Oreochromis niloticus: one gene and its partners. The protein of the gene in region 2 purifies or fractionates together with the protein of the main gene of each other region. This does not show direct contact. Links are inferred from orthologs where the notes say so. Each region holds a gene or a part of one and is shown on either strand. Other genes may lie near its edges.

Region 1 (7,112 bases), on a different chromosome or scaffold from region 2:
AGGCTAACTCATTTCAGAATGGTAATAGGTGAGAAAGAAATTCTTGAATTGTGAGTGTCAGGAGTGTCTGAAGATATACTGGGACAAGCCTCATGTTTTAACTTCGCTTTGTTAAGGAGATATGATGATTCAAATATGCCTCTCATTACAGAAATCAAGCTGTGATTTTGAACAAGCTCTCCATTGACTTTCTATGGGGATTTTTGAGACTTTGTGTTGGTCTGAGGAGATTTGCCAAAATTCTATAAATCTCACAACAATGATGGTGACATTTTCTGAAAGCCAGCAAAAATACCTACGTTTTGATGTATAATTTGTGGAAGTTGAGTGAAAATTGAGCAAGTAGCAAGAAGTTGTTCGGACATGAAGAGAAGACTGCGAAACCTACAGTGGCACACTGGAAGCCAAGTGCATAGCAACCATAACAACGCATGTATTTTCTGAAAAATCACAATTTTGCAACTCAAAACTTTAAGAGGCATAAAAATAAAACGGTAAAAGATTTGAAAAAGCTGATTTATTCCTGAATAGCCCAATAATTTGAGAACATTTTAAAGTTTGAATGGTTGTTCTACGTGAAAGTAGGAAAAAGTAGTTAAGTTTCAAAAACAAGCAAGTTTTAGCAGAATTGCGGAAGTTTCCCATTCATTTCAATGGGACAAATTAAAGGAAAAAAGTGTAATATTTTAAAAAGTATAACAGTTAAAAATATCAAAAGATATAGCGTACATTAGCAGAAATAGCAGAATAGTTTAAAATTTGAACGGTGAAAATCGGCTGAAAATTGTGGAAGTAGTTAAGTGCCAAAAAGTGTACGGAACGCAACTAGAATAATAATAATAATAAAGAATAAAGAGAAACAGGAAAACAATAGTGTGGATGCCTTAAAGCATCCACACAATTAAGATAATAACTGTAAAATGAATCAGCTTTACCTCTGAGGATGCGGTAAGGTCGCAATGAAGGATATTCATAGACTATGATGTTAGGCTGTTTTCCCTTCTCTGCTACAACGAAGTACTCCTTGCCAGGGTGGGCCTTTAACCACACACACACACACACACACACACACACACACACACACACACACACACGTCTGAGAAAATGCAGTCATCAAGTGATTAATTATGCAACTGAACCAAATGCATTTTATAATAAGGGGTTGTAAATCTTCCTGTAAATACTGCATTAAAACAATTGAGGTATTACGTGTATGTACCTCAATCATTTCTGCTTGAAAACTGTAGGTGCATAAATGTACACTTCTGCAGGAAATCTTTGGAGTGCCTACGATATAACCTACTCGCCTCTGTCAGTGCGCCCCAGGGTGGCTGTGGCTACAATGTAGCTTGCCATCACCAGTGTGTGAATGTGTGTGTGAATGGGTGGATGTCTGGATATGTAAAGCGCTTTGGGGTCCTTAGGGACTAGTAAGGCGCTATATAAATACAGGCCATTTACCATTTACATAAGCAGCTGACCAGGTTGCTGGCATTTATCCTGGAGTTTTACATTTGATGCTAGCCACACTGTTAAATTATAAAACTAGAGCAGAAAAGTTGCTGGAAATGCATAGGAGGAATTTGCAGTAGTAAACAGGTCAATCATATTAGTTGCGGGCTGAGTCAACATGATGTGTAGTTACATTTCTAGAGAGGTGCATGCTGGGTTACACCATGGGCTTTCAGAGGAATTTGGGGTTACGATGTAGTTATGCCGTAGATTTCCCGCTAAAGCTTAAATCCCCAGTAGCATTATTTATCTCCTCAATGTGCCTGCTGCCAGTCACAGAGATTGCAGATTCTGTGGGACAGTTCACTTGCATGATGAGTAATTTCCCTTACCGTGATTGCTCCGATTCCCCCTCCACTGCAGGAGCGCAGGTATCTCTGCTCCTTGGTGTTCACATCGAGCAGGACGAGCATGTTCCCCGCTATAAAAATCAGAGTTCTGTCATCCAGCAGCTTCAGGTTTGCCCTGCGTCCACAGTCATAGCCAAAGGAGTGACTGATTGCATCATTAATTAAGGATATCAAAGTTAAAATTCACATCAGTGTTATAGAAAAATGTTTTTTTAGCAAAAGAAAATTACAACTGCTTTTTTATAATAATGTATCAATATACTAATATCTCTGTTCCACATACTGTTTATACATACTATTACTTTAGAAGCATTAGTATTAGCAGAGAAATATATGACACATACCATAAGATAATGGCACTATAATGCTACTCTATTAAACAATATTACTGCTTAGTCTATACTACATATTACATACAATATACACAACGCATGTTTAAATGTACAGTATATTATACTGAGCATTCATACTTACACATACACTTATATAATACAAGCTAAACATATAATGGCTGCAAACATAAGCACAATATAGAGTTAGGTAGTGTTTATAACATATTTAAATAAAATCGTAGGGTCTTTACCTTACAATATAAAGTGCCTTGAGGCGACTGTTGTTGTGATTTGCTGCTGTATAAAACTTAATTGAATTGAATACATAAAAGCTGGAGTTAAAAACTACTCAAAATAAACTATGTGCACTATTCTTATAATTGAACATGGGAATGTGTAAAATATTTTTCAGCAAAGGATACGAGAGATGCAGGAGGTTCTCTGGGATTTCAGAATCGGGTGTGATGTACGGTCTGGAGTGAAGCTCTTCATATTTGTAGTACATGTCTGCAGGGAGTTGCTTTTTTGATTGGCTCCCAGCCTCCTGCTGCATTGCTGAGTGCTTGGTATCACATTCTGCGAGGAAGGAAAGATGTGAAAACAGTTTTTAGTCGCTTGTGACTTGTACCATTTAATTAACTTTATTTTTCCAGTATTTTAGCAGTCATAACTTAGGAACTACAGGGGATAGCCACATTAAATTTTTAGTGCTGAATCACATTTATGTATCAATTTTACACCCACTCCAAGTGTAACATCTACAGCCAAGACCTTTCCTCCAGGACACTGTCTTCACAACTTATTTTCTGATTCAACCCAGCAACCCCTTCTTGCTTTAAAGTGATAGTGCTACCACCTCACAACGCAAACTTTAGCATTGTGAGGTGGAAAACTAAACGGAAAACTCGGATATCAGGTATTGTGAAATGGTTATACTGAAACTGGGCTTTACGTGGTGCATGACATAAAATGATCAGCAAACTGCAATAACAACGAAGTATCTAAAACTGATTGGGTTTAGCTTGGTACCTTTATTTACCCCAAAGTTGGGAGATTCCTTTGCTACATTAGCCAAAACTACTTAATACAACCTAGAACAAAGCTTAGATAGGTAGAATGAGGACATTGCTGTGTACAATAAAATTCAATATATCAAAATAAATGTCTCAATAAAGTAAAAAGAGAAAATGAGAGAAAAATACAACATTTTAAGTTCAAAATGTAAATATGTAAATTTAAAATATGAAATAAATTAATAATTAATAATAATGGATTTTCATTCATTAAAAGTTGCAATAAAGCGGGTTAATAAAGTAAATTAAAATATCTGACATAAAAAAAAAAACAATTATTAATTAAACTTGGGGGAAAATAGCATTAAGCTGCCTGACCTTCAATGTTTTCCTGTAAAGATGTCCGTGTGCTTTCAGTCTGTTCACTAACAGAAGCTCCGTTTTCTCCCAACATTTCCTGTTTGTTACCTGCTCTGTGAAACACACACAGACAGTCTATTATTCAAAGGTATTTATAGCTTGAAATGAAGGAAGTTAAGCTTTAGAATACGATAATACACAATACCACCAGATGGAATTAAAGTCCTATCGTCTGGATACGGCTCTGTAAAGTCTGTTGCTACGTTGCCGGGCAACGGCAACGGAGTTGCAAAGCCTTGTGGGTTATGTAGTTCTCAACCGTTGTCTTGCGTTTTTTTAAGTAATGGGTCGTAATTTTAAAGAAAATGACATGATTTTTTACAAACATGATTAACTTTAATATCAGATTAAACTAACTTGATTTTTAAGGAATTTTAAAGAATGTCAATTTCTAATTCACATCGATGTAACCACAGTAACGAGGTCTGCCCCTTTAAATCACAGTCTGTAAACAAACATGGCCGCGTTATAGTGGCTCCGAGCTCCACAAATCGAAAGAAAGAAGTTCACTTTTTGTCGGTACACTTTGGAACTGCACAACCAATTAAAGTGTTAAATATTGGTAGCTGAAACTAATAAATTTATCGGTGCGGCGTTTTTTGGCGATAATGAATTGTCGCAACAACCAACGTTTTACGGCAGTGGAGTTTAAGTTTGATTGGACGCTTTGTACCGTAAACCGTGTCGGTTATAGAACACATGGGACGGAGCTGAGGTAGCGTGTGCATCTGAAATGTGAGTTAACTGCTCGAAAAAATCATGTTTACGTCGTTATGTTATAACAAAATGCTATTTTTATTTGCGTAATAACAGTTGCTAACTTGTGTTATTTATGTTATTTGCTAAGTAGCTTGGGTAAAAGCACCAGAAGCGCTTTATGGATCGAAAACACACTTTAAAACTGTTATAACTGATGGAAAAGTGGTTCATTAAAACTAAAATTTAAGCAGAGTGTCGTCATTAACAGCACGGGAAGAAAAAAGGCTTGGTGTAGTTTCTTGTCTGTGGTTCTAGATTAACGCCTTAATAATTTACAAAGTGAGGAATAAAATAGTTGGCAGAGCCAGTAAGTGTATCACAGGGAAAGTTCCCATCTGAAAGTCTTCTAAAATCCACATGAATCTACTTCTGATGTCCTAAATGTGAGACGTGGAGAAGGTTTTGAAAAAACTGTGTTCTTGTCTCAGAAGCTCGGCTTTCTGTTTATTTTTATTCTGAAGCTAAAAGGCCAGGTCAATGTTTCTAAAGCCAAAATTGGGACCCCCCCCCCCCCCCCCCCACTTGTATTGTCGTCTGGTACAATGATTGTATTGTCAGATGAAGGCACTTTTGAACTTCACACCTACATTTATTGCTTTGCAGAAAGCTTCAATAGCTCATAACTTAAATCCAATTAGAATCAGAGAAACATTATCGTCAGACACTTTCGCCCAGTCCAACAAAGCTTCTCACTGCCTCGGTAAGATGATAAGGAATACTTTATTTTTCCCATATTTGGTTATTTGTTAAAGCAGTTTAAATAATGATCAGATACTACTAATATTTATTATTATTATCAACACCTGTCAGGTGCTTCAGATATATTGCGTTATAGAGGGTGATAGCATAGCAGTTTTTAGTTCTCATCAGTTGCAATCACAGAACCAGTCTTCCTGATTCCAGTTCGTAGAGTCTGTTATTATCACCAGCTCTAGTGCTGCTTCTCCTGCAGATCACAGCAAAGTACACTGTACTCGCAGTAAGTGATGGATAGAAAATGTCATCATCACTTTGCTGCACACAGTGAAGGATTGTGGTGCCTGCTAAGCCTCTTGTTGTATACAGCCTGAGTGTGACAGCATGAGCGGTCACTCAGTGGTTTGATGAGTATGAAAGATATATTGATCACATGCTAGCCATAGCCAACAAATTTCAACCCAGATAACCGCTTGTGGGAGATTGGCGTTCCATCCTTTTTTTTTTCTACTTTGATTTGTCACCTGCGTGTATGTGACTTGTTAATCTTCCTACTCTTGTCTCACTTTCTCTTTCAGACACACATTAGGATGGAAACTCAATCAAAAAAACCTTTTTCTCCTAAAAATGGGAAGAAGTTCATGCAGAAAGGAAAAGGAAAAGGTAAAGCATCTTTTACAACAATGCTTCCACGCTTCATCACATCAAACCAGTTTTGTGATTGGGTTGTCTCATTTTGCCCAGATTCCACAGGGACCAAATTTGGTGGAAAACCAGGCAGCAAAAAGCCCTTCAAACAGTACAACAACGCAGAGAGGAAGAGCCGACCGGGGAAGGGCCGGGATGGTGGCAAGAGAGAAACAAAGTTTTCTTTCTCTAAAGGAGGAAAGAGGAAACTGACAGATGCTAAAGATGAAGGAGGAGAGGGTGAAGGTGAGGAAATATCTTCTCTTTCCAGACCAAATCTGACACTGCCTGTAGACACTGGAGTTGGTTGTATATCATGAACTGAGCATAATTAACACACATACATTCTGCACATATACAGCACGTTATCAGCTCACTGCTTTTTAGTTTTAGAGTAAAAATAAATAAATACATGAGACGGACTCTATGTGCTACAGCGTGGATAGTCTGGCTGCTGAAACGACACATTCTGCTCTAAATCACTGATTCTGTTTTCGGCTCCTCCTGAGAGACTTTCTGTTAGAGGACGGCCTTCAAAAGCAAAAGTTCTGTTTCCTCTTTTGTGTGAGATCAGGTCCTGTGGCTAAGAAGGTGAAGAAAGGTGGGTTTAAGCCAAATGAGAAGCTCACAAAGGAGGAGCTGAAGAAGAACAGGCAACAGAGAAAGAAGGACCTGAAGAGGAGCCGACAGGAAGCTGAGAGGAAGGACATGTTCGAGATCATCAATCAGTCCAAACATATGTGGGGAGACCTCAGGAGGTACATGTACACACAGACTCACAGGGTTGGAGACAAGGCCGTCGTTTGTGTTGCTGCGGTTGGTTCAGTATCGGATGTTTGTGTCAACAGGAAGAACTGCGAGAAAGACCTGAAGAAGAAACTGCTGAGAGAGCTCCGAGACCTGATCCATGGAAAAGTCAAACAGGTTCGTCTGTTTGTTAGAAACTGCACATTTGGATTTTTTTTATTTTTAAACCTGTCTAACTTTTCTTTAAAATGAACCCATCCTCAGATGACCATATAATGGACATCCACTCTTGTTGACATCATACAGAGCCAAGAGTGGGAAAAAAACCTTCCTGAATCCTGATCATTTGGCTCACAGGGATTACTTGTACATACACTAGCCTAATCATATATGACAGAAAACAAAAACAAACGGGATAGGCTCCCATTAAGATGTACCTTTTTAAAATATAGTTAGGGTCATATTCTCTTAGGATTGATTATCATGTCTGCAGTTGACTCAGCAAGTAAACAAGCTTAAAAGTGGACACATGGAACACAAAACATCATAAAAACAAAAGAAAACCAGCAGATTCTTGGATTTTGTCTTTATTTTAT
Region 2 (7,583 bases):
GGTTCCCAGACCTCAACAGTGAAAAGAGTCCAATGTTGGGACGGGAGAGGTCCATCACAATCTTCCTGGCTTTAGTCTTGCACCGCTTGGTGTAGATGGACAGCAGGTCAGGAAGCTCTGATCGAATGACGTGTTTGGCTGAGCGCACCACTCTTTGCAGATCTTGTCTGTCAGATATTTCCCATCAGGACGCTCTGGTTGGTGCAGAAGTAGAAGTTCTTAAGCACCCTCATTTCAAATACAGCGCAGTATTAGCACAGTGACATCACTCGTGGAACATTTTATAAACCTTATGAGGTTTATAAACCCTAGTGTTTACGCATTATGAAGGAAAGCAGGCTTTTAATGTCTCTTGTCATAACCCTGTAACTTCCCAAGAAACCTTTGTTGGTTTATAGCAGCTTTGTAGTCATTATTAGGTTGTTTCATTAGCGTTAGGATGCAAGGCAATGCCATCAGAACAGAATGAACAAAAAAAAAATAACTGTTTCTCTACAGAAAATGGATAAGAACAAAGATGGCGTGGTGACTTTGGAGGAGTTCATTGTAGCCTGCCAAGAGGTCAGTATTCTTCTTCATGTGTTTTTGTCAAATGAATAGTTAAAGAATTAAAATATAATACTCACTCATACACACTCATTAAACCTGACCCAACAAGAAAAAAAGCAACTAGTTTCTTACTTCAGCTTGTTATTCTAGTCGTGAAACCACCACTACACTTGACTCAAACAGCCTCTCCTCCTCATTCATAAAGTGGTCTACGAACACTAACATTACGGCTAACAGGTGGATTCTCGCATTTCAGTGCAGCTAGCTAACAATGAAAAGCCACTTACTGTTTGAAAGACAGAGAGTGAATGTGAACAGTATATCCTGTGTTATTTAAGCATAAAACTAAAGTGACACTTTTAGATTGCTTTTTAGTTTTTGTTTCTTTCTTTTCCATTGAGTTATTGGTTATTTTACTAGTCAGCTAAAATAATTATTGTAAGTCTATCAGCAGCAACCAACTAACGCAGTGACATTATGTTATGTACTGGTGCAAGATGGCACTATACATGTTCTAAAAACTTTAAACACTTATTTTTTTTAAATCCAGCTTCACAGACATTGTTAAATCTGGCCCTTTTTTAGAGAAGGACTCAGTAGTGTATATTAGCCTGAATACATGCAGTGTTAAAAGTGTAAATAGGCCCACATAATTTCACCATTACTTAATTTTTTTATGTCAAAAGTCGCACACAAGAAAAACCACAATCCATCAGATGATTTCATTTCACAGACGGAGGTATTCAAAATAATTCCATACACTCTTTGTCTCAACAGGATGAAACTATGATGAGATCCATGCAGCTGTTTGAAAACGTCATGTAGAACAAGCGGAGAGGGTGGAGACAACCACATGGAAAAATGAGAGGGCTGAATGTGAGTGTGTGTGGATGCATATGTGCAGTACATCCAGTCTCTCCTCCTCCTCCTCCTGTTTTATCCAGCTGTGGTCAGGATATAGGCTGAATCCCCCACAATGACTTGTATGAAGGGACTGGACTGGGATGCTCTTTAGTGCTCCTGACGAGTTTCGTCACACAACACAAAGTGACTGATGTGACAGACATGGATTTTAACACATTCGTCTCTGTTCTGTCATGAAGACGAAGATTGGCCTGTTAAAGATGAAGCTGCTCATCCATTATGAGGCTGCTCCTGACCAGTGAAGGGCGATGTGCTCAAGAAGCTGAACATTTTATTTTATTTTTTGCCAAGAAGCAGTTGGGGTTTGTTTGTTTATTTGCTTTTTTTTTTTGGTTGTTTTTTTGCCAAAGTATGATTGCATGCTTGTTTTATTTCCAAACTTTTTGACAGATTTGACCATAAGTAAATCTATACTTGTGTCTCATGCATCTTGTGGTTGACAGATATGAGATATTGCAAATGTTGTACGTTGGTTTCACTGATGCGGTGACCCTTGTAAATTTGTGATGACCTGGATGTCGCTTGTGTGCTGAGTCTGTGTTATGCTCGTCTGTCCAAAACTTACAGTACAAGTCAAATAATTTTAAAGCAGCACATTTCCTGGGTCTTACATGGTGTGTGTGTGTTTATCTTTTCTTTTCTTTTTTAGTGAAAAAGAAACCGATTCATTCTTTTTTCATATTTTCATCTGCTGCTTTCCTGCTTGTGGTCAAATTGGTGTATTGTCAAAAATGTTTTTTAAAAAAAAAGATTGAAAAAAAAACATGAATACGTTTTAGACATAATTATGAAATACCCGCAAATCAAAGATGTTGAAGAAGAGGCTTATTAGATGTTTATTTGCACAGATGACAGGTAATCGAGGCGTGAGTCTCAGATGGAAACAGCGATGTTACAGAAGAAGTTTTGTCCAAAAGACATCACTGTGTCAGAAAAAGCGAGACGTTTGCTGCTGGTCCATTCCAGCAAAGAACTGAGAAAGCTTCTGATAATCTTGCAGGGAAAACCCGCTGAATGTCAGCTTTGGAATGTGATATGACACTGAGGACAGCTCCACTTGTAATAATGAACATTTGGCACTGTGTCCTCCATCCAAACAAGGACAGTGATGTCACACTGACGTAAACGGTACACAGAAAATAGGTTTTTTCTGCAGCAGTAGCCCGCTGAAGGTTTCCTGTGAGTCGTGGTGTGTTTAAATGCGCCACCATAATAGAAAACTCGCAAGACTATCGTAGTTTAGGCACTAAAATATTCATTGCTGTTCTTTTTCGCAGTCATTAGAGAGGCTCTTTTGCTGCACCGTGCGACCGTGTGACATCGCAGCCTCAGGTCTCGGAGATCTTATTTTGGAATCAGATTATTAAATCTCACCAACAGGTTCATTCTAAGCCATATGAATAAATGTGTCAATTCTTAAATTTGACTGGTGTGCCTTTTTGTATGCTTTTAAAAAAAAATGTAATGATCATTAGAGCAGAAACCTACATAAATGAGTGAAGAACACAAAAACACAGTGCAGGCTCTAAGGAGTCACTGAAAAATTTAATGAGTATGAAAACTGTGTGAATCATATGCCATGACATTTGCAAGTCCTCAGACTTGAACCTGTTTTGGTCATGTTAAGTTAATTAGATTTTTCTCTCTTCTTACCCGTCTGTATTGATTTAGCTCAACTATTCAAACTGGGGAAAAAATCTGAAAAAAAAAAAAACATTTTTGGTGAAGAAATTGCCCATCTATCAACTATTTGCTGCTAACTTCTTGGCATTTATATTATAAGTACAGTTCTGTGCAAAATTTTAGATCTTAATCTTTCTTCATGGTGATCAAATTCTTACAGTACTTTTCTGCATTCCTAATTTCATCAGTTATGACAAGATCCCAACATCTAGCAACATCGAGCCCAAAACATGACAAAGCTGCCTCCATGTTTTACATATGGCTGTAGAGAGTCACTGTTGGGTCTCCTGACGTCTTCCACAAATGAAATTTCAGGTTTGTGTCAATCACTCCATAAGACCTGTTGCCACAGATTTTCAGTCAAGCTCTTCTGTAACTTGGCACACCTCAGACTCTTATCCCTGTTTCACTTCCCTGAGAGTGGCTTTTCAACAGCAACCCTTCTACTGAGATCATTTCTGATGAAGCATCAGCAAACAGCAAGTAGATCAACTGATCAACTGGTTAAATCCATCTCTCAGGTCCTGTGTCAGGTCTTTGTTGGATTTCTTTTTCTACTTTCAAATAGTGTCCATGTGCAGTAGATAGTTTTTTGCTACTTCTTTGACTTTATGTCTTGAAGGACACACTGCACACTATATGGCAGGGTTTTTTTTTGTTTTTTTTTGGCTAATAGCTGTTTAGAAATTACCTTGTGATGAAAAAAAAATTATGCCTATCAAACTGTGTTACCTTTGGCATTTCTCATAGACTGACCCAACAGGCTACTATGACAGGCAACTAGTAACAAGGTGCCAAAAGAGAAAATTTAAAATTGGTTCTTTAAATTGGTTCAAGCTTCATCCCTAGAGTTAGGTGTCCTAACTCAGTCATTCTTGAATGACTGATAGATCAGTGTTGAGTGGCTTAAAAAATAACTTTGAAATTAATTTGTTATTGTAGGGTCTTTACATTACATTACACCTTGTTGCTATGATTTGGCGTTATATAAATAAAATGGAAAAAAAAAAAAAAAAAAGTCAATGTCCAGAATGAAACTTCTTCTTCAGAAGATACCCAGAAAAAAATACAAGAAGGTCTGGCTACCTGGAAGTGAACTATAAAGAAATAAGGAAAGGCTCAAGACGTTTTCACTCTGCTGACACCTAGAGGCAGATTTTCAGCTACAGAACAACATAATAGGTTTGATGCGATCGTAAAATTAAAGGTTTATGTAAAGAAAACATCTTAAATGACTGTAGTATGCATGGGAAAAGAAATGAAGGACTATAATGTTGAGCCGTATCTCAAAATGACCGTAATTCCTAACAGTCAATGCGCTTTTGCGCTTTTCCAACACAAACGATGGAGCTAGCTGCATGATGCCCTGTGCATCCTGTAGGTGGCAATGTGGGCTGATTTTCTTTACTCCGTGCCTCATTGAGAATAGAAGAAGAGCGGGAGCGCTGTAGCACGTTAGTTAGTGGCTGCTGGTACCATTTGGTTAATCTTCTACAGCATATAAAGAGTTTGTCAGCGTCCTCGTCTCCAACATGAACGGGCTGGATGAACCAATGGCACCACAAAACTTTCTTTACGGTGAGAGCACCACTTTGTTTTATGTGTGGCTTGAGGTTGTTTTATATTCTGTGTTCTCGTGTTTTTTGGCGTTAGCAACAGATACATTACATGTAGCATGCTTAGCTGCACGTGCCTTCTTCCAGACGAAGACAGTGGACCTGTTTGTATTTAAAACATTTAAAATGTCTTGTGTTGTTAGTTGTTATGAGTCGTGGCAGGAGGTTGAATGAGTCCTGCTGAGCTGCTGTGCTTCAGACCACTTTGCCACACACGTGCTTGATTATCAACATGGCGGCCCCCGTGATTTATTAACTGAGTTGATATCTGATCAGTTTCTTTAAAGAGTTAGCGCTGCTGTTCTATTGAAACACCTGCTTTTTTAGATGAACTGTCCCCCTGACGCTCTTCTTCGAGCTGAAAGTTTTCTGCTGGCCGGGGAAATTGGTCTCAACGTGGCTTCAAACACACGCGGACCGCGTTGACCTCCTCCTGCGACTGCATTTTAAGCCACCTCAGATCTTAAAGAGTGTTTCTATTCTTCATCTGTCCTTCTGCCCTCTTTACTCACTAAAATTTAACCTCTTCTCTTAGGATGGATACTTCAGACACCGTTTAAACAGCAGATACGTTCACAGTGTACTGGTTTAATGAATTGAAAATAGAGAAGTTGCAAATTCTGAGGTGATTTAAAAGAGCAAGAGCTAAACATTTTTTTCACACACAGAAACCAAGCCAAATCCTTCCAAATCGTCTTAATCTGATAATAGATTGTTCCAGATAGGTGATGATTATCCAAAGCTCTGCAATTGGCTTTTAACCCAGGTTAATTGAAATGCCATAGCTGTAGAGGATGCATATTGGAATATTAACATGGCACGTGTCTTTGCTAGGTGTTTCAGAACTTTAGCATAAGTTTTGAAGTGATTTTCAGTTCTCCCCCTTTCTTCATTTGAGGGGAATTCCTGCTGTTGCCATGTGACAACGTTCACCCCTTGTTCTGTAGGGCTCCCTCTTGTGTGCATCTTGAATGTAGCGCTTTACACCTAAGTGGTTCTACTCATTTTCTACATTTGTATTCTTTTAAAATAAATCATTTTATTGAAATCTCTTAATCAGGGTGTGTGCTGGAAGCTGGAAAGGAAGTGGTCTTCAATCCTGACGACGATGACTTGGAGCATCAGCTGGATCTGAGGATGGTAGGTGTCTTTGATGCAGTTTGTTCATCCCTGTATACTTGAAGCTCTTACCATCGGGCACACAGAATGTAGAAAATGTAGTGCAAAGCGTACAGAAAATTCTCATATTTCATTGTGTCCCACACACTGAGCACATTACTTGTGTTTTGTGAAGAGAATGATGCAGCCAAGTGGTACTGTGAATACCAAATCGTTGGTTAACATTTTCAGTTTGAAATTTCTCACCACCAAAACGTCAAATGTTCTGTTGTCTTTAGGTGTGTGTGGACCCCAGCACAAAAGATGAACTTCATATGGTGGAGGTAGAAGGGCAGGACGCAGAGGGTCAGAAGGTCAAGGCAGTTCTGGTTTCACTTAAGCCCTCTACTTTGCCAAGTGTAAGTAAACTTTCTGCTTGAAAACACACCTGGGCGAGCAAATGATTTCATGCTTTAGTCTTCCTTAGCCTCACATGTAGGGGCTTCTGTGCTGCTACCTCAGGAAAAACTGCTCTGTATAGTCTTGCAGCAGCTGTCTTATGTGTGTTTTGTTGCAGGCGTGTCTTGGTGGTTACACAATCACACCCCCAGCAGTTTTCCGCCTGAAGGCAGGTTCTGGTCCGATCCATATCAGTGGACAGCACCTTGTCAGTGAGTATTCATAATTCTGAGACTGTGGTGATAACCCTCAAACAATCAAGACCCCTCGTAGCACAGCAGACTGAGTAATTTTTGATTATAAATTCCTTGTAAATTGTCCCCGCAGTGATGGATGCAGATCAGTCTTTTGATGAAGATGATGAGGATGACGACGATGAAGAGGAGGAAGATGTCAAAACATCAAAGAAAAGGCCTGCTGCTTCCCCTGCTGCAAAGTCTCAGGTTTGTTTGGTTTTTTAAATCGGTGTTAGTATAAAGTGTAAACTTGTCACTGTAAATCACATGACTGACTTTTAATCTCCTTCACAGAAAAAGATGAAAATGGAGGTGGAGGAAGATGATGACGACGACGATGATGATGAAGAAGACGATGATGATGATGAAGACGACGACGATGATGAGTGAGTGTCTGACCACACAAATGCAGTGAAGTCCTTAAGTTGACGTCCTCATGCGAACAGATGGTAGCTTTGCATCTTTCCTCCTCCTGCCTTTTAAAGAGCTGATGACTGTCGGGAGATCAGTTGTTAAACATGGCCAGCTCTGGGCAAAGTGTTATTTTATATTTGGGTCACTGCACTGCTGGGAAAAGAACGTACTTCTGCTCATCTTGCCGCCAGCATGTGTAGCTGGCTTTAGTTGAAAATGGCCCTTTTTTTTTTTTTTTTTTTTTTTGTTTGTTTGGTTTTTTTTTTTTTTCCCCGACCAACTGAAATAGTGAAAATGAAATTCATGGCGAAGGTCAGATGGCTTTTGAACACCTGTCCTATCATGTTTTATAAGAGCTTATTTAATAATTAATAATAATTATTTATTAAATAATGCTTAATGGAGCTTTCTTCATAACATGATAAAAGCAAAACTTGTAGGAAACATCTAAAAACTGGTTATATTATTTGTAGCCACAACAGTGTGCAGTTAATAGTTACTGTCATTATGAAACTAGGGAAAAGGTTTTCCGGTCCATGTCAGACTTTGCATAACCCATGTCCATGCTACAGAGGTAGCCCCTCGTTTAGAAATAAGGTCCTCG
Region 3 (7,127 bases), on a different chromosome or scaffold from region 2:
GATTTACCTTGTTGATGAAACTGGACTTGCCCACGTTGGGGTAACCGCACAGAAGCAGGGTCCTCGTGTTTGGGTCGATGCTTGGCAAACGGGACAGATGCTGACGCACTGAAAGATGAGTAAGGGTTACGTATGAAGACAGGAGAAACAGACTGAACTACTCAAACCTCTCAGCTAAAAGGAAAAGTACAACTTTGGACAGATTCAGATTCTCAATCACAGCCTAAACTCTCCTCCTCCTCCTCACCTTGCTCCAGGTACTCCAGGCTGGATTTCTGCCGTTTCAGGATGGTGCACATACGCCCGAGAGCCGCTCGCTTCAGCTGCTTACACCGATACAGAGAGTCTCCATACTTCATCAGGCGCACATAGTCTTTGGCAACACTGAAAGAACAAAAGATGCCTCTTCACTCCTTTGTTATAGGAGAGTAAGTCTAGACCAGCGTTGGGGTCGTTACTCAGAAAAGTAATGTAGTACAAGTCACTTTTTTTTAAGTAATGCATAAAATTACTTGATTATCCTCAGGAGAAACTGATTCATTACACTACTTGTTGCATTACTTTGAAACAATGTCACATAGTTTTACTTAACAATATAAACCTTATGAGGACACACAGGAGACGTGTGTGATCATGTTACAGTTTTAATTTTAACACTAAGCTCACAGCAAAGTTGAAAACCAGCCCAAAGAGAAGCACGTAACAGCGATCGACACATTCAACAGTAGAAATATGTACAGGTAGAACGTTAAGTCCTGCTGCTGCACTGCAGGTCTGATTACGCTCAGCTTCAGGTTCTTCGCATTTTGTTTGCATGCTGTCTTGCAGATGCTTGCAAGGACCTGACATCCTGTTAGCAGCGGCAGACAGTTGCTTATGTTTGCACTCTGCCATCATCCTCTTGTTCTTTGTGCAATAAAAAATAAATTATGTTCACGAGTCAGAGCTCTAGACCGGAAGAAAAATACTGACAACTGCCGGTGCTTACATGTGATTGAAGTAACACACTGATGTAACTAGGGCTGCACAATTAATCTAATGTAAAGGCACTGGCAATAGAACGCAAAGCAAAAGCATAACAGGCGCTCCATAAATCAGTGCCTGTGCCTGCAGGAGCCAATCACAGCTGTTCTGTAGCTTGAAGTTTCTGAAGGTGTAATATAAATGCATGAAAAACAATGCAGTGGCTGCTAATCTGAATGGTCTAATGCAAACTTGGACATTCGAAAAAGTAGCCCTATTGAGCGCATCAGCATACCCACCAAGCTCACATAAATGCACTGAAACCAGACTCTCATTCTCAAGGTAAGCCTCCAATAAATAAACCGAGTAACAAAGTCTTTAAGAAAATGGTCAGCATACTGGACACATGATATCTTATCGCCTCGCACAAATATTTTTCCAAGGTTCCAAAACATGCACTGTATGCAAACACCACAGAAGATGTCAAAGCTTTACATCCATCAACTCATCTAGCAAACAGAGTGAGAGGCTTTTGATTCAGATTTGTACATCAGGAGGAACGAAGCAGAGCATGGATCTGAAAGCAGTGTTCACAGCACAACAATAACCAGCAATAGATTTTAGATTAACTTACTTGTCAATCAGATTCTTGGCAATGTTTAACTGTCCTAAGGCCAACTTGTAATGATCTTTGTCATACAAGACGTTCATTAGATCAGCATAGAAAGGGTGGATGTCCTGAGGAGACGGAAAACATCACGTAACATTAAGCATCATACGAGTTTGACCAGATATTTAAATGAAAGGAGTCTCTTTCAAAGTTTCTTCTCTTACGTCGAGCTTGGGGAAGTCGGTGAGGATCTGCGTGAGGCGGTCATGGTAGTTCTGCTGGGTGAACTTCACCTTTCGCATGTAAAAGTGTCGGATACGGTGAATCTGGTAATGTTTGTGTACCACCGTGGGTGTCTTCCTTTGGGTTTTGGATAAAGTGACATCGATGAAATCCTGCACAGATTTAAACAGGGTAAAGGTCAGCCACAGATCACCACAAACAAACAAATCAATACAACATCATCAGAAAAACTGTGTTTATTTTTGGGCTCTAGTGTCTTTAATTATTTGGCTATTTGAGGTTATATTTATCGATACTTGACTCGTTACATTACGTACAAGAAAATTCAATTTTCCTGTAATTCAGCCCATAAAACCTCATATAATCGGTTTTCCTAGAATCCAGCCAGACATCCCTGAGAAACCAATCAGTTTAATGTTTACTCGCTACCGGCCAAGTCAAGCAGCTTATAACACAATTTTATATGACGCTTACCACCAATTATAGTGTTTTTTAAAGTTCGGCATACAAGTTATATAGAAAAAACTGTTTGAGGAAAGAAGGCAGAGTCTTTCATGACGTTGTTCTCATAGTAGGCCGCCACAACGTGGTGTTTAAAAGGACTGACACCACTGCAGCCACACGAGTCATTAGGCCTGTTTTCATCGAGGTTATGAGAGCATCTTATACCTGCCGAAGTGAGTAACAGTGTCTCTGCTCACAGGAAATAGAAACGTATGAAACAAACAGCCTTAGACTTATACAGAGGTGAGAAAACACACATACGTGCACTTCCAGATTTGTGAATGTAGTTCTGAAAGCGAAAATTAGAGCTACCACCGGCTAAAACAGACTATTACTGGCTGTTTATTTACATATAATGACATGTCAGACTCAGTGTAGCAGTTTTCTGTCTTAAGTTTGCTTTTCTGAAACATGCTGCGTTCTCGTCAGCCCAGTACGGCACGTGTTTTCTTTTCCACCATCTTTTATCTCCTGCCATTTCCCACGGCGAGTCGGACCGAACCTCAGCCCCTTTAAAACGCGATGTTAGCTAAAGGTAAAACTTACCTTGGCGGTGGGAACCACCATAATCTTCTTGAAATTATAAAGTGCCATTTTGTCGGGACACGTTGTGGTCCGCTGACGGCACGGGGAAAGAAAGCCCGGAGTTCCGCTACAGCCGGAAAAGACTCGGAAAACAGTTTGTGTGTGTTTTTTGGACACCGCCCCCTGGCGTCCGGACACAGACACAACAAAAACAGACACAACCACAAGAAATCCAAATCATCAAAAGCAAAAATACTGATTTTATTGAATCATTTACATTTATTCAAGAGACACAAAAGCTTAACAACTTTTATCAATAACAATTTATCTTATCTATCTGTGTGAGTATGAGATACATAAAAACAACTTAAATATACACATGCACATGTAGGTGTGTATTTATTTATATGTGAGTGTGTGCATTTATTTACATGCATATTATTACTTCACAATGTACTTTGCACAGTGACAATAAAGAAACTTATTCATTCATTTAGTGTTGCTATTTACATAAGCAGAGTTTTCTTTAGAATATTAAAAACTTTTTTTTAGATTTTCCAAATATATTAAACAGAAAGTCTGAAATATTTGTATTTTTTATTATTTGAATTCATGGTAATTTTTTGGGATTGTCATTTTTATTATTTCAGATTATCTTTTATGTGACTGAGATATTGTGTTATGGCAATCTACTTTTTAAAAATATTTTTGTTATGTATTTGTGGCTTTAATTAATTGTTTTATTTTTTTCATTTTCATTATTATTACAATTTCTTTGTTTCTTTGGATTTATTTATTATTTATTCATTAAATTGGATAAACTTTGACTATTATTAATATTTCAAGTTGCCAGAAAGTGTCTAATGTTTATTTTAATTTAAGGTTGTGTTATTTGTATTATTCTATAATAAACAGAAAACTTTTTATAGCGTTGTAACTTGAAGTTGGTTACATTTTAATAAAACAATATTTAATAATAAATAATTATTATTTATCATTCACATATGTGAGTGTGTGTGTGTGTGTGTGCGCGCGCGCGCGCGCACTTACTGCTTTGACAGCACTGACTCTAGTATGAAAAACATTCTTGTTGTGATCCGCGCGGAGCGACAAGCAGCCAATCAGCGGACAACAATACCCCGTGACCCCGCCCACTCTCCCTGATCACGAGTGGATCCGCGTGCACCCACGGGCAGTATGGACCAATCAGGACGACCTGCTGCGAGCGCGAGCGAGGAAGAGTAAGAGGAGGGGGGAGGAGGGGCGGGGGCTGGAGCCCTGTGTGACAGCGCTAGGTTCAAAGAGAGAAAAACACGCGAAGAGGTATCACTCCGCTGACGGAGAGCGGCTCGTGTTTACATCCGCCTCGATCCTCTGGCTCTGCTCCTCCGGCCTCAGTGAGAACCGTATCAGACTTTAGCGCAGGCTCGGTATCGGCTAACTCAGTACCAGAACAGAAAAAACCAAAACACGACAACATTTTTGGAAGTTAGCCCTTTAAAGAATTTTCCCTCAGTGTCAGCTTTCCCCCTGCACTGATGATGAAATAGCCCTGTGCGAAAGTCTTTCTTTATATTTTGCTTAAAAATGCAAAATAGGTGCAGCATTTTACTGAAACATGGCAGCTCACATGGAAATATGGAATATAAGGTAAAAACAGAGTTTGTACAATTCTAAAGAGCTTGAAGGTCAATATTTGGTACGACCACCTTTATTTAACACAGCCTGAACTCTGTTAGTCTTCAGAAATAGTTCTCCAGGTTTCTTGAAGGACATTCAAAGCTCTTCTTTGGATGTTGGCTGTCTTTTGTTCTGTTCTCTGTCAGGATGATCCAACAATGCTTCTGTAATACTGAGATTCAGGCTCTGGGGAGGCCAATCCATGACTGATGATGTTCCATTGTTTTCTATCCAGGTATGATTTTACTGCACTGGCAGTCTGTTTGGGATCACTGCCGCGCTGAAAAATGAAGCTCTTTCCAGTCAGATACTTTCAAGATGATGTAGCATGGGGGGTCAAAATCTGATGGCACTACTTCATCAGCATTGACAAGATCCCCAACAACATTGATTCTACACCATGACAGAGCCTCCACCATGTTTTACAGACAGATACTCGCTGTTGTGTTTCTTTCCTTACCTGTTGACTGATTTTTAGTCCAGTTGTTGTGTAATCTGGCAGACCTCAGCCTTTTCTCCCAGTTTCCTTTGCTTAATAATTACTTCTTGACAGCCACCCTTCCACTGAGACTATTTCTGATGAGGCTTCAGTAAACAGTAGATGAATTATCTGAAGGTCCAGGATTCACCTCTCAGGTCCTGTGTCAGGTCTTTTCTGGATTTCATGACAGTTTTTAGGCCCGTCACTTGTCCAGGTTACTCAGATTTGTTAAGGACACACTGCACATCATGCTTAGGTATGCTGTGGTTGCAGCTAATAGCTCTTTGGGAATCCGCTTGTTGTTGCAAAGAGTAACTTATATTCCTGTCAAACCATTATGGGAGTGGGAATAAATGTGTTTTTGTGACAGGCTATTAGTAACAAAGAGCCTGAAGATAGAATCTGAAATTGCTTCTTCACTTGGTTGTCTGTTATGTGTGCCATGTCTGATGTGGTGGTTATCAGTACTGGGGACCACAGCTGATTGTCCTGTCTCCATTCCTGTTTACTTCTCACTGTTGTCCTGGAAATCTGAGGTGTGCAACATTCCACCACAAGTGCTCTGATGACACTGCAGTGGGTGGGTGTATTAAGGCAGGAGTCGGAGTGCAGGGAAATAACCTCTGCTGAATGTCAGCAAGACAAAAAAGAGTTGGTTGACTTCCAGAGCAGAGCTACAGGTACTTGGGTGTTCACTTGAATGGCAGACTGGGCTGGAGGACCAACAGGGATGCTGTGTACAAGCAGGGAATGAGCAGACTCTGCTTTCTGACGAAGCTCAGTGTGCAGCAAGGGCGCTGTTTACTTTGCAGTTGACTGCTGGGTGGACAGCATCGGTGCCAGAGATGGCAGCAGGCTCCACAGGATCACTGGCCAGAATCTGGAGGCGTTTGAGTCAGTGAGAAACAGGAGGTCACTGAACAAACTGCTCTCCATCATGCCCCATCACACCTGCTCTGCTCCACACTACAGAGGCAGCAGAGCTCATTCTTCCTCAGACGTGTTCAACCTCACTGAATGAAGAACGCTTCAGGAAATCATTCCTACTGCTCTCTGTAAAACAGCATAACAGCTCTGTTTTTCTGTGACAGGTGAACACACCTGTCAGGACAGCAGAGTCCACATACCTTCTTAGATCTATTCTGTATATATTATTTATTAATGCCATTTGAAGTACTCTTTTGCACAATCTGAGTCTGAATTTTGTATTTTTTAACTTAGCTTCAGTTTTATCTTCTTAATTTGTAATCACTGTTGTGTATATATAAATATTCTTTGCACCAACTCAAACTATAAGATGTGTCTATCTACCTACTATACAGAAACATAACACAATAAACCTATTTAACATGTAGCGTTAGTCTATCGACATGAGATAAACAATATAAGCCACCTTTAAAGTGCTCTTACCTGAATAGAAAATCCTAATTCGTCTTGGACCTTCTTATATTTCCAAAAGTCTGTCACAAACCGACTCGCCCTCTTAGATCTTACACTGCCAAACTTTGAGCTATCAGCTTTCACAGTTAATGCCCCCAAACTGTGGAACATCAAAATATTAGGGAAGCAAACAGATCATTTCAAGAAACTCTTAAAGCACACATTTTTATTTACTAGTCCTTTTACCAAATAATGAACATAGGAATAGCAGTGCACAGTCGTGCCTGTTGAGCTCAGCCACGTTTGGTAATCTAGCAGATAAAGACCATTTGCATGCCTTCCTGATTAGTATCAAATTTTCCTTCTACTTTTGTTAACTAACATTGTTTCTTATATATTTCTTTGATTATGTTTTGCTGGATTTTTTTGCTGATTTATTTTTACTTGTGCATTATGTGTGTGTGTGTGTCTGCATATTTCTGATAGGCTGCTTGTTTGATTAAATGCCTGGTTTGAGATGTAAGTTTTCAAATATGTGAATCCCTTTGAAGCTATGTGATATTATTGGGCTATATTACTTAAAAATCTTTATAATGAAGCTCAGGTCTTTGGTGGACACTTAAAAAAAGATTTTTCTGAGCCACTGGGATGTCCGGTAAAGCTGCGCTGTAGACGATCTTTGCGCTGCACACGAAAAGGAAAGGAAACGCCGACTTCTCCATTCCAAACCCCCCTCTTCTC
Region 4 (7,845 bases), on a different chromosome or scaffold from region 2:
TTTATCGGTTCTTTACAGTAATTCACAACCTCTTCCATGCTGTCGCACCCTAGCAGCTGTGCCTGAGGCATACACAGTCATCAGAAAACATTTTAAGATATCTGTAGTGGTTAGAGACTGTTGTCATACCCTCGAGGCTCATTCTGAAGGTAGGTGAGGAAATGTTTACAGGATAACTGAGATATGCGAACAGTGATGGGAAAATATACAAGTTACCGCAATCAGCACAAAATGAGACTGTGAGCTCTGACACATGGTTGTAAGGAAATACCGATTTGCTGCAATTTTCTCAGTCCTGATACAAACATATAATTGAGCTTTTGTATATTATTATATTGATATTGGTTTACAGAAATCTGCTGACTATCAAAATCCTGAAAGCAGAAGCAGAAGAGAAACAGCAGCAATGTTTTACTCTAGTTTAGTAAACCTTAGTGGAAAAACACAAAAACACCTGTTTTATTTGTCGCTATCTGTCATTCACCTGGCCCTTTTTCAGAGTTTCTACTCATTTTCTCAGATTTTTTATCCGATCTAGTGCTCAGCTGAGATAAAATGATTTTTACATTCATGTAAATGTTGAAAATAACAACATCAACAATGCATTTATAGACTCAACACTGGAAATACATTTTCAGTATACTGGATGTAGAAAATGGACGGATGGATGTGAAAAGTACTTAAACTTTAGGAGGTTGATTATCAGATACTGTGGCGTCTCTGAAAAACAAAGCAACAAATCAGAGAAGTTTGACTCCCTACTATAACAAAAACGCAGGCCTTAACACAAATAACTCATAAGCATGGAAGGAAAAGTTGATGTTCTAATCTAGACGATCTTTGTTTGGCCTGGAAAATAAGTCTGTTGCTCTATTAAAAGAAAAAAACAACAACAACCTAAGTTTGTTTGTTTCAACACTGTAGCCAGGCTGACTTCATGTGATACCTGATGTAAACAGCACATCTTCACCACTCAATTTTTTTCCATTCCCAAGTCTTTGTATAACATTGCCCCACGTCATTCATTTGTTGTCTTCTTACTTCATTACTTCGTGTATTGTCCTGTTTCCCTGTCCTCTTTTCTTTTCTCTTTCAGCCCCTCCCTCACCTTCTACCCAACCAGTTTGCTAGATGTTCCATCCTCTTAAAAGGGGGTTTTTCTTTCCCACCGTCACAAAGTGCTTGTCACAGGAGGGCTGATTGATGGTTTTCTCCAGAATCCTGTAGGATCTTTCCTGTACAGTATAAAGCACCTTGCCCCGACTCCATTGTTATGATTTGGCAAGATATAAATAAAGCTGAATTGAATTGGATTGAAAACACTAAATAATTTCTGGAAAAAGAAAAAGAAAGACACAATTCTGCTTTTTTAGTCAGTTACATTCATTACTGAGAAAGTTTTAACGGTTGTCTGTTCTCTGTCTTCACCATTGCATTTATCAGCACTGATGAAACAGTCTAAACAGAATCTTGCAGCTACAGGGTCACGTAGTTGAACATGCCTCTAATTAGTATTTCTGAGCTCTGGCATCTATAGCTTCGAGCCAGACATTGCACAATGTATCCCCGGTGGAAACGCATTTGATTTTTTTTTTTTTTTGACTGTGTCTGTGACTTTTAAACTCTTATTGCCCCTACTAGCCTGTGAGAGTGTGTAATATAAACACTCTCTGATGACAAGAGGCCATTCCATCATCGACAGAGCCACAATTCTAGTGTAGTGACTCAATCTATCTAGACAGGAAAGGCAGAATTCCTGGAAAACAGCAGCTTTTATTCCCTGCTGATGCCATTAGGTTGAAACAGAGCACACAAATTCCACATTGAGGGATTAGCAACTTCAGATAACTCAAAACCACAAATGCAAACTCACACTGATTGATTGCTGTGATCCTCAGTGTGATATAAAGCGGAGCATTATGTGAGATAACAGTGGTAAGATAACAATGGTGTTTGATTATTTTTTTTCTGGTGATCTAAAGACTTTTTTTCACCCATCTAGAAGGTGTACACAACACAGCCGATCACTAGAAATTCTATGTGGACTAAAATGATTTTTTCACAAGTGCAGAGGTGTAATATTAGCTGCAGTGCGTGATTGATTATCTGACTGAAGAGGAGATAAGTGATCACAAGAACTGACCAGCTATCACAATAAACAGGCACTCAGCTGGATGAGACTGCTCATCAAACATGTATTCAGAGCGGGAAAATGAAACACACAAAACTGCAAAGGACATTACACAGACTTATTGTATATCCATTTCCTGTACACTTAACCAAAATTACTAGTTGCCCTTACAATTATGGTGAATTTAACCTAATCAGCACTTTTTTAGCCTTAGCACTTTTTAAAAAACTATCTAAAGAGGATTAAAGACAAATTTAAATCCAAAATAACTTCAGTACGGAACGGAAAAAAGTAAACTGTGCTAGTAAACGAGTTATTGTGAAAAAAATAAATAAAAACCCAGAGGTCATAAAAATGATTTATGATACAGTTTTTGCCTGCATTTATGAACAATAAAAGCCCATTAGATTGGCCCCATAGGATTTTATATGCCATGGAACACTTTGGCCTTAGACTTATTCATACTTAAGGCCTTGACTTGAATTGTTTATTTGTTAATTGTATGTTTTTACTTCTTTTTTTTTAAGGGAGGATGGGTCAGCTTATAAGTAATTAACAAGCGATTTGCTCCACCTAGAGAAATAGGGAAGTTACTCATGCGATGCTCTCTGACAAGGTCACTGGCTGATAGATGAGTCTGAGCAAGGGGATCTTTTGGAGACTGTGAAAGCAGGCAGAACTGTGGGAACCAGACAATTAGTGGGTGGAAGGTAGGCAGCCATGTTGGATGACAACCATGAGACTGGTTTACATGGATACTCATCACTTGGCTGGTCGACAGGGAGAAAACAGACACCTGGGCTCAACCAGCTATTACGACACAGTCATTTATCTTTGAGGAGGCTGAGCAGGCAATTTGCCAGCAGTTTAGCATGAGAGCGTGTGCAAGTTCCCTTCAAGCAAATAGGGATGAAGTCAGTGCAGACATTTAACAATAAATATTGTTTCCAATTAGTTTTAGCAGACATATACTGTGGGTAGAGGAATATTAAAGATGAAGCATGAACCAACACCTAAAGTTCTTATTTGCATTTTAGTCCTTTTTGAAGTTTTTCTACAGCTACAATGCAGTCTTTAAAAAAAAAAGAAAAAAGTAATAGTTACAAGATAAACACATGAAAACGATCACTTTCTGTTCCCCCGAGAAAGATAACAACCTACCGTAACACAGACACACACACACGTACACACAAAGGAGAATTGGAAATTACCCTAACACATGTCCCTAAAAGAAAATTTTAATGAAAAATCTTTGGCAATGTCTACCATTATTTCACAACCTTATACGGGAACAATGCTTGACAAAAGCAGAATTACAACTAGTCTTTCACAAATTCTGCTAACAAAAACAAACAAATGAATAAAAGAGGGGGAAAAATACACCCTAAGACACATCAGTGTAAGTACCTGAAAAAAGTGTGATAGCTGCTGCTAGCCTATTTTCTTTCTTCTAAAATCATCTATGCCAGTTTAGATTTATAATGATATAAGACACGCTAAATCCCAGTTTAATACATGTACCAGGTACGGGCTCCTCTGAGTTAAAAGGTTTATTGCACTCCAATTTCAGTGCTATTTTCAGAGCACTGTTCGACAAATATGATAAAGACTATTAAGCATCATAACATTCCATGACACTTTAAAGACCTTTTAAAGAAGACAAAAACAATGTCTCACATGCACCTGGAGCTTCAAAGCACACAAAACTCTTATTCTGGACTTGAAATACACCAGGCACTTGACAACAGCTGTTAATCAGATAATGAAAGCCTCGGCGTTACACAAGCACACTTGTGGAGAAATGGCTATAAATTCTTTGCCATGACAGCTCACAAGGGCAGGGAGAGCGTGAAGCTGGGATATGGTACCAGGCACTTGCCTTCCCAACAAGATGACGCATCATACGAGCACTATGATGAAACGCTTCTTCAGCCATTTCCCCTCAGTCCACTATTTTGAGCTATTTATCCTCAATGCAACAGATTTAAGTTCCCTTTCTGTAAGTGCTATGAGAAATAACTGACTACTAGCCAGTGATGATGCAGTGTCATGGGTTTCCATAGTTTCCGATTTTGTGAAAAATACACAGATCCTAAAGGCAGATGAGGTGAATGTTGGAGCTTGGAGTTGAATAAGACTCCAGTGTCGTCACCCTGTGCTTAGATGTCAGTAACTCGACTCCATGGTTTCAGGGTGACCTCCTGCTGCACTTACCCTCTTCACCTCAATCACCAAGTGACCTGCCATTGTAACAATACACAGGATCCCACATGGTATAGGGGCCCAACACGTGCACCCATAGGTCAGCGGGTGTATGGTGAAGAACACTGCCCTCTGACACTGGCGGTGTTTCCTACTTTGGAGAGCTCTTGGCCAGACCTTCCATGGTGGTCTGCAAAGATGGACTACAGCTAAATCAGATAACCTTTCACGGGGTTCAGGTTCACCTCTCATCCAAGACATCCAGGGATAATCCTCCAGGAAAGGAGAGGAATACATAAATTAGAGGCAATGGAAGCCAGAGGAAGTCATGACAACTACAATTTAGGAGTTTTCACAATATATAAACAATGATGGACAGGAATCAGATTATAGTCTAATTCGTGTCCATTAGATTAATGCTCGGCGTATTTAAAAGTAGCAATAAGGACATTACACAAGCGCCAACCAACAGCCTTCGATTACGGCTACTGTGGCTTTAACAAAACATGACCCGGAAGAAGAATTTTGTCGCCGGCACAGTCTCCTTGTTCTTTTCCGGTCAGAGCTCTGTAGTGGTGCGAGCGTGGATTTCATCATCTAGGCTCACAAAATCACAAGAAAATGAGCGTACCAGCATTTATCGACATAACGGAAGAAGATCAGGTACAATCTACGTTTACAATAACTCGTTGAGTAGATATAAGCGTTATATTGTCGCGGATGAGTCGCTAAATGATACCCAATCAAAAAACTTAGCATGCTCGCTAGCTAAAATGCTAACCGTCGGTCGTAGCAGCTGATATCTGCACGCATATGGTTAGGATATGCGTGGTAAAACATTTTAAGTAAATATGTTAAATATCCTGTCATCCACATTTTCTTGTAGGTAATTTAATAGGTATATTTTTAAGATCATTGTGCTTGGGGTTTAGCGTGTCGTAAGTTTCTTTTGGGGCTTAATAATAGCTAATGTTGCTAGCTGTTTAGCCGCACATCTAAACAAACAAAGGCGTAAAAATTCTACACACACGATTCTACAGGCTAGATATAGATGGGATAATACCTTCACTCCAACAGTTGCTTGTTGCTGTCCACTATAGATCTACAGTCCATATTTTAGTCAGCCACAACAAAGAGATGCAAGAGTATAGATAAATAAAGTCGTCCATACCTTTTTCTTAAATATGATGTCCACTCTGATGCGAGCACGTAACTTGCCACTCTTCGTTCTCTTAAATGTTGAAATGCTCTGTATTTATTGTGTATTTTATGTATTGTTTTTAATGTAAATGTATTTTGTACTGCAGGCTTCAGAGCTGAGAGCCTATATTAAATCTAAAGGAGCTGAAATCTCAGAGGAGAACGCTGAAGGCGGTCTTCATGTAGATCTGGCTCAGATCATCGAGGCGTGCGATGTCTGCCTTAGAGACGATGATAAAGGTAGGCAATGAAGAAATTGCTGCTCCTTTTTGATTAGCTCATCCTCTTCATCCTCACCTCAGGCCTCACCTCCTGAACTGAACTCAGGGCTCTAATGCACAAAAACATGCATAAAACTTGTAAACTCTTTCAGGATATTGTCATAGTTCCTTGTTGTCAGACCATCCCATCTTGGGGACAACAAGCTGGGTATAACAACACCATCTGGTTACAACATAATGTTATCCATGAGTGTCTTAAAAGTCACACTTTCCCTCTGATAAACAGTTTGATTACATTCTCACATTGTATGAGTGTTCATTTGATTAGTGTCAGAGTCTGACAACATTAGCGCCACTTCATATACTTTGTCTATAAAAACATTTTTGTACATAAACAGTAGTGGAAAAACACCGCCTGTCCACGTTTGTTGTGGGATGCAGAGGGTTAAGTTAACTTGTCTGGTTAAATTTGCTGTCTTGTTAAATGTTTGTTTGACAATTAATGCCCTAAAATTGTGCAACAGTGTCTTAATGCTCATGGCCCTCTATGTCTCTCCACAGATGTTGAGAGCGTGATGAACAGCATCGTGTCTCTGCTGTTGATCCTGGAGACAGACAAGCAGGAGGCTCTTATTGAAAGCCTATGTGAGAAGCTTGTGAAGTTCCGTGAAGGAGAGAGACCCTCCCTCAGAATGCAGCTGTGAGTCCCATCAGGTCCTTTCCCTGAAGACTTTCAAAATAAGAGGTTGCTTATTTAATTGCAATTATGTAATCTCTTTTACTTTCTGGTGTCACAGGCTGAGTAACTTGTTCCATGGCATGGATGAGAACACTCCCGTGAGGTACACAGTCTTCTGCAGCCTCATCAAAGTGGCCGCCACCTGTAACGCCATATCCTTCATCCCCACTGACCTTGATCAGGTATATACATTCATGGTGATTAATCCGTATGACTGGCCAAAAACACTATAATGCAGTGCCTTGGTTTACTGAGCTAGTAAAACAATATTTCAGCATTTTCTTTTTGCCCTTTGTAATTAATGTATCATATGTATTTGTGCCCATAATCAGGTGCGCAAGTGGATTGTTGACTGGAACCTGAACACAGAGAAGAAGCACACACTTTTGAGGCTGGTATATGAAGCACTTGTTGACTGCAAGAAAAGGTAAATCCACATAGGGTTTCTTTGTGCAAAGATTACTTCAAGAGAAAAGAAAAAGGACAAGATAAAATTTGGACATAAGACTGTATGAAAATGTTCTGCATAGAATATCTCAGAAGCATTTTCAACAATATAAGTATTTATTTTATAGCGAAGCTGCAGCAAAAGTGATGGTTGAGCTACTTGGAAGTTACACAGAAGACAATGCTTCACAAGCACGCGTTGATGCCCACAGGTAAGCTTGTAGAACTTGTTGAACGCTTGACATTACACTTCAGCATTGTCCTCCTCAGCAGTACATTAACGCGTCTGTCTGCCGTCTCTTAGATGTATCGTCCGTGCTCTCAAAGATCCCAACACTTTCCTGTTTGACCACCTGCTCACCCTGAAACCTGTTCGCTTCCTCGAGGGGGAACTCATCCATGACGTAAGTGCTAAAGATTGCATAGAGCATTTATAATTATTTATTTATTAGGCTTCTGCCGCCATGACCCGGCTGCAGATAAGCGGAAGAATATGGATGGATGGATATTTATATATGTAAATGGAAACATCTGCCCCAATAACCCTCATCACAATTTGCCCTTCAGTGCCTGTCATACTCCACAAAGCACATAAAGCATCAAACAAATTTATTTTTATAATGCTGTGTCATGACAGTACAATCCACGTCAAACATGAGACTGGTTATTAAGTTTGAGTGATTCACTTGAGGAATCTAGAACATTTCTACCTGTGTGTGTTCAGTCTATGACAAAAAATTATTCAGGGTGCGTCTATAGTTTTCGACAATCTGACGTAGATAATTATAACAATTTTTAGCCTCTGTGAACAAGCTGATTGTACATCATACAGTGGCATTTGACCGTCTTCTCCCTCTTCTTTTTCAGCTATTAACCATCTTTGTGAGCGCCAAATTGGCAGCATA

What was found.
Region 1: the proteins of npm1a (region 2) and pum3 purify together in Homo sapiens (affinity purification with mass spectrometry; 3 studies listed by BioGRID and IntAct, counting the BioPlex papers as one, with this or other methods). This does not show direct contact. The link is inferred for Oreochromis niloticus from reciprocal best matches to the Homo sapiens genes NPM1 and PUM3.
Region 3: the proteins of npm1a (region 2) and gtpbp4 purify together in Homo sapiens (affinity purification with mass spectrometry; 3 studies listed by BioGRID and IntAct, counting the BioPlex papers as one, with this or other methods). This does not show direct contact. The link is inferred for Oreochromis niloticus from reciprocal best matches to the Homo sapiens genes NPM1 and GTPBP4.
Region 4: the proteins of npm1a (region 2) and eif3m purify together in Homo sapiens (affinity purification with mass spectrometry; 3 studies listed by BioGRID and IntAct, with this or other methods). This does not show direct contact. The link is inferred for Oreochromis niloticus from reciprocal best matches to the Homo sapiens genes NPM1 and EIF3M.

The regions. Positions count from the first base shown.
Region 1 is NC_031972.2:32,304,666-32,311,777, reverse strand, and holds the start of pum3 (pumilio homolog 3), read left to right. Parts: upstream 1-4,099; 5' UTR 4,100-4,362; intron 4,363-5,660; 5' UTR 5,661-5,672; coding exon 5,673-5,745; intron 5,746-5,826; coding exon 5,827-6,015; intron 6,016-6,343; coding exon 6,344-6,527; intron 6,528-6,617; coding exon 6,618-6,693; intron 6,694-7,112. Other genes in the region: cfap44 (cilia- and flagella-associated protein 44), read right to left, coding at 936-1,038, 1,845-2,007, 2,617-2,770, 3,586-3,661. UniProt on the Homo sapiens protein: Inhibits the poly(ADP-ribosyl)ation activity of PARP1 and the degradation of PARP1 by CASP3 following genotoxic stress. Binds to double-stranded RNA or DNA without sequence specificity. Involved in development of the eye and of primordial germ cells.
Region 2 is NC_031975.2:8,472,818-8,480,400, forward strand, and holds the start of npm1a (nucleophosmin 1a), read left to right. Parts: upstream 1-4,570; 5' UTR 4,571-4,688; coding exon 4,689-4,734; intron 4,735-5,832; coding exon 5,833-5,912; intron 5,913-6,169; coding exon 6,170-6,289; intron 6,290-6,447; coding exon 6,448-6,541; intron 6,542-6,656; coding exon 6,657-6,772; intron 6,773-6,859; coding exon 6,860-6,951; intron 6,952-7,583. Other genes in the region: kcnip1b (Kv channel-interacting protein 1b), read left to right, coding at 499-561, 1,327-1,374. UniProt on the Homo sapiens protein: Involved in diverse cellular processes such as ribosome biogenesis, centrosome duplication, protein chaperoning, histone assembly, cell proliferation, and regulation of tumor suppressors p53/TP53 and ARF.
Region 3 is NC_031982.2:30,875,286-30,882,412, reverse strand, and holds the start of gtpbp4 (GTP-binding protein 4), read right to left. Parts: upstream 3,018-7,127; 5' UTR 2,915-3,017; coding exon 2,867-2,914; intron 1,969-2,866; coding exon 1,798-1,968; intron 1,702-1,797; coding exon 1,598-1,701; intron 385-1,597; coding exon 248-384; intron 109-247; coding exon 8-108; intron 1-7. UniProt on the Homo sapiens protein: Involved in the biogenesis of the 60S ribosomal subunit. Acts as a TP53 repressor, preventing TP53 stabilization and cell cycle arrest.
Region 4 is NC_031965.2:24,244,723-24,252,567, reverse strand, and holds the start of eif3m (eukaryotic translation initiation factor 3 subunit M), read left to right. Parts: upstream 1-4,841; 5' UTR 4,842-4,954; coding exon 4,955-4,996; intron 4,997-5,640; coding exon 5,641-5,773; intron 5,774-6,315; coding exon 6,316-6,454; intron 6,455-6,551; coding exon 6,552-6,675; intron 6,676-6,825; coding exon 6,826-6,920; intron 6,921-7,068; coding exon 7,069-7,152; intron 7,153-7,244; coding exon 7,245-7,344; intron 7,345-7,807; coding exon 7,808-7,845. UniProt on the Homo sapiens protein: Component of the eukaryotic translation initiation factor 3 (eIF-3) complex, which is required for several steps in the initiation of protein synthesis.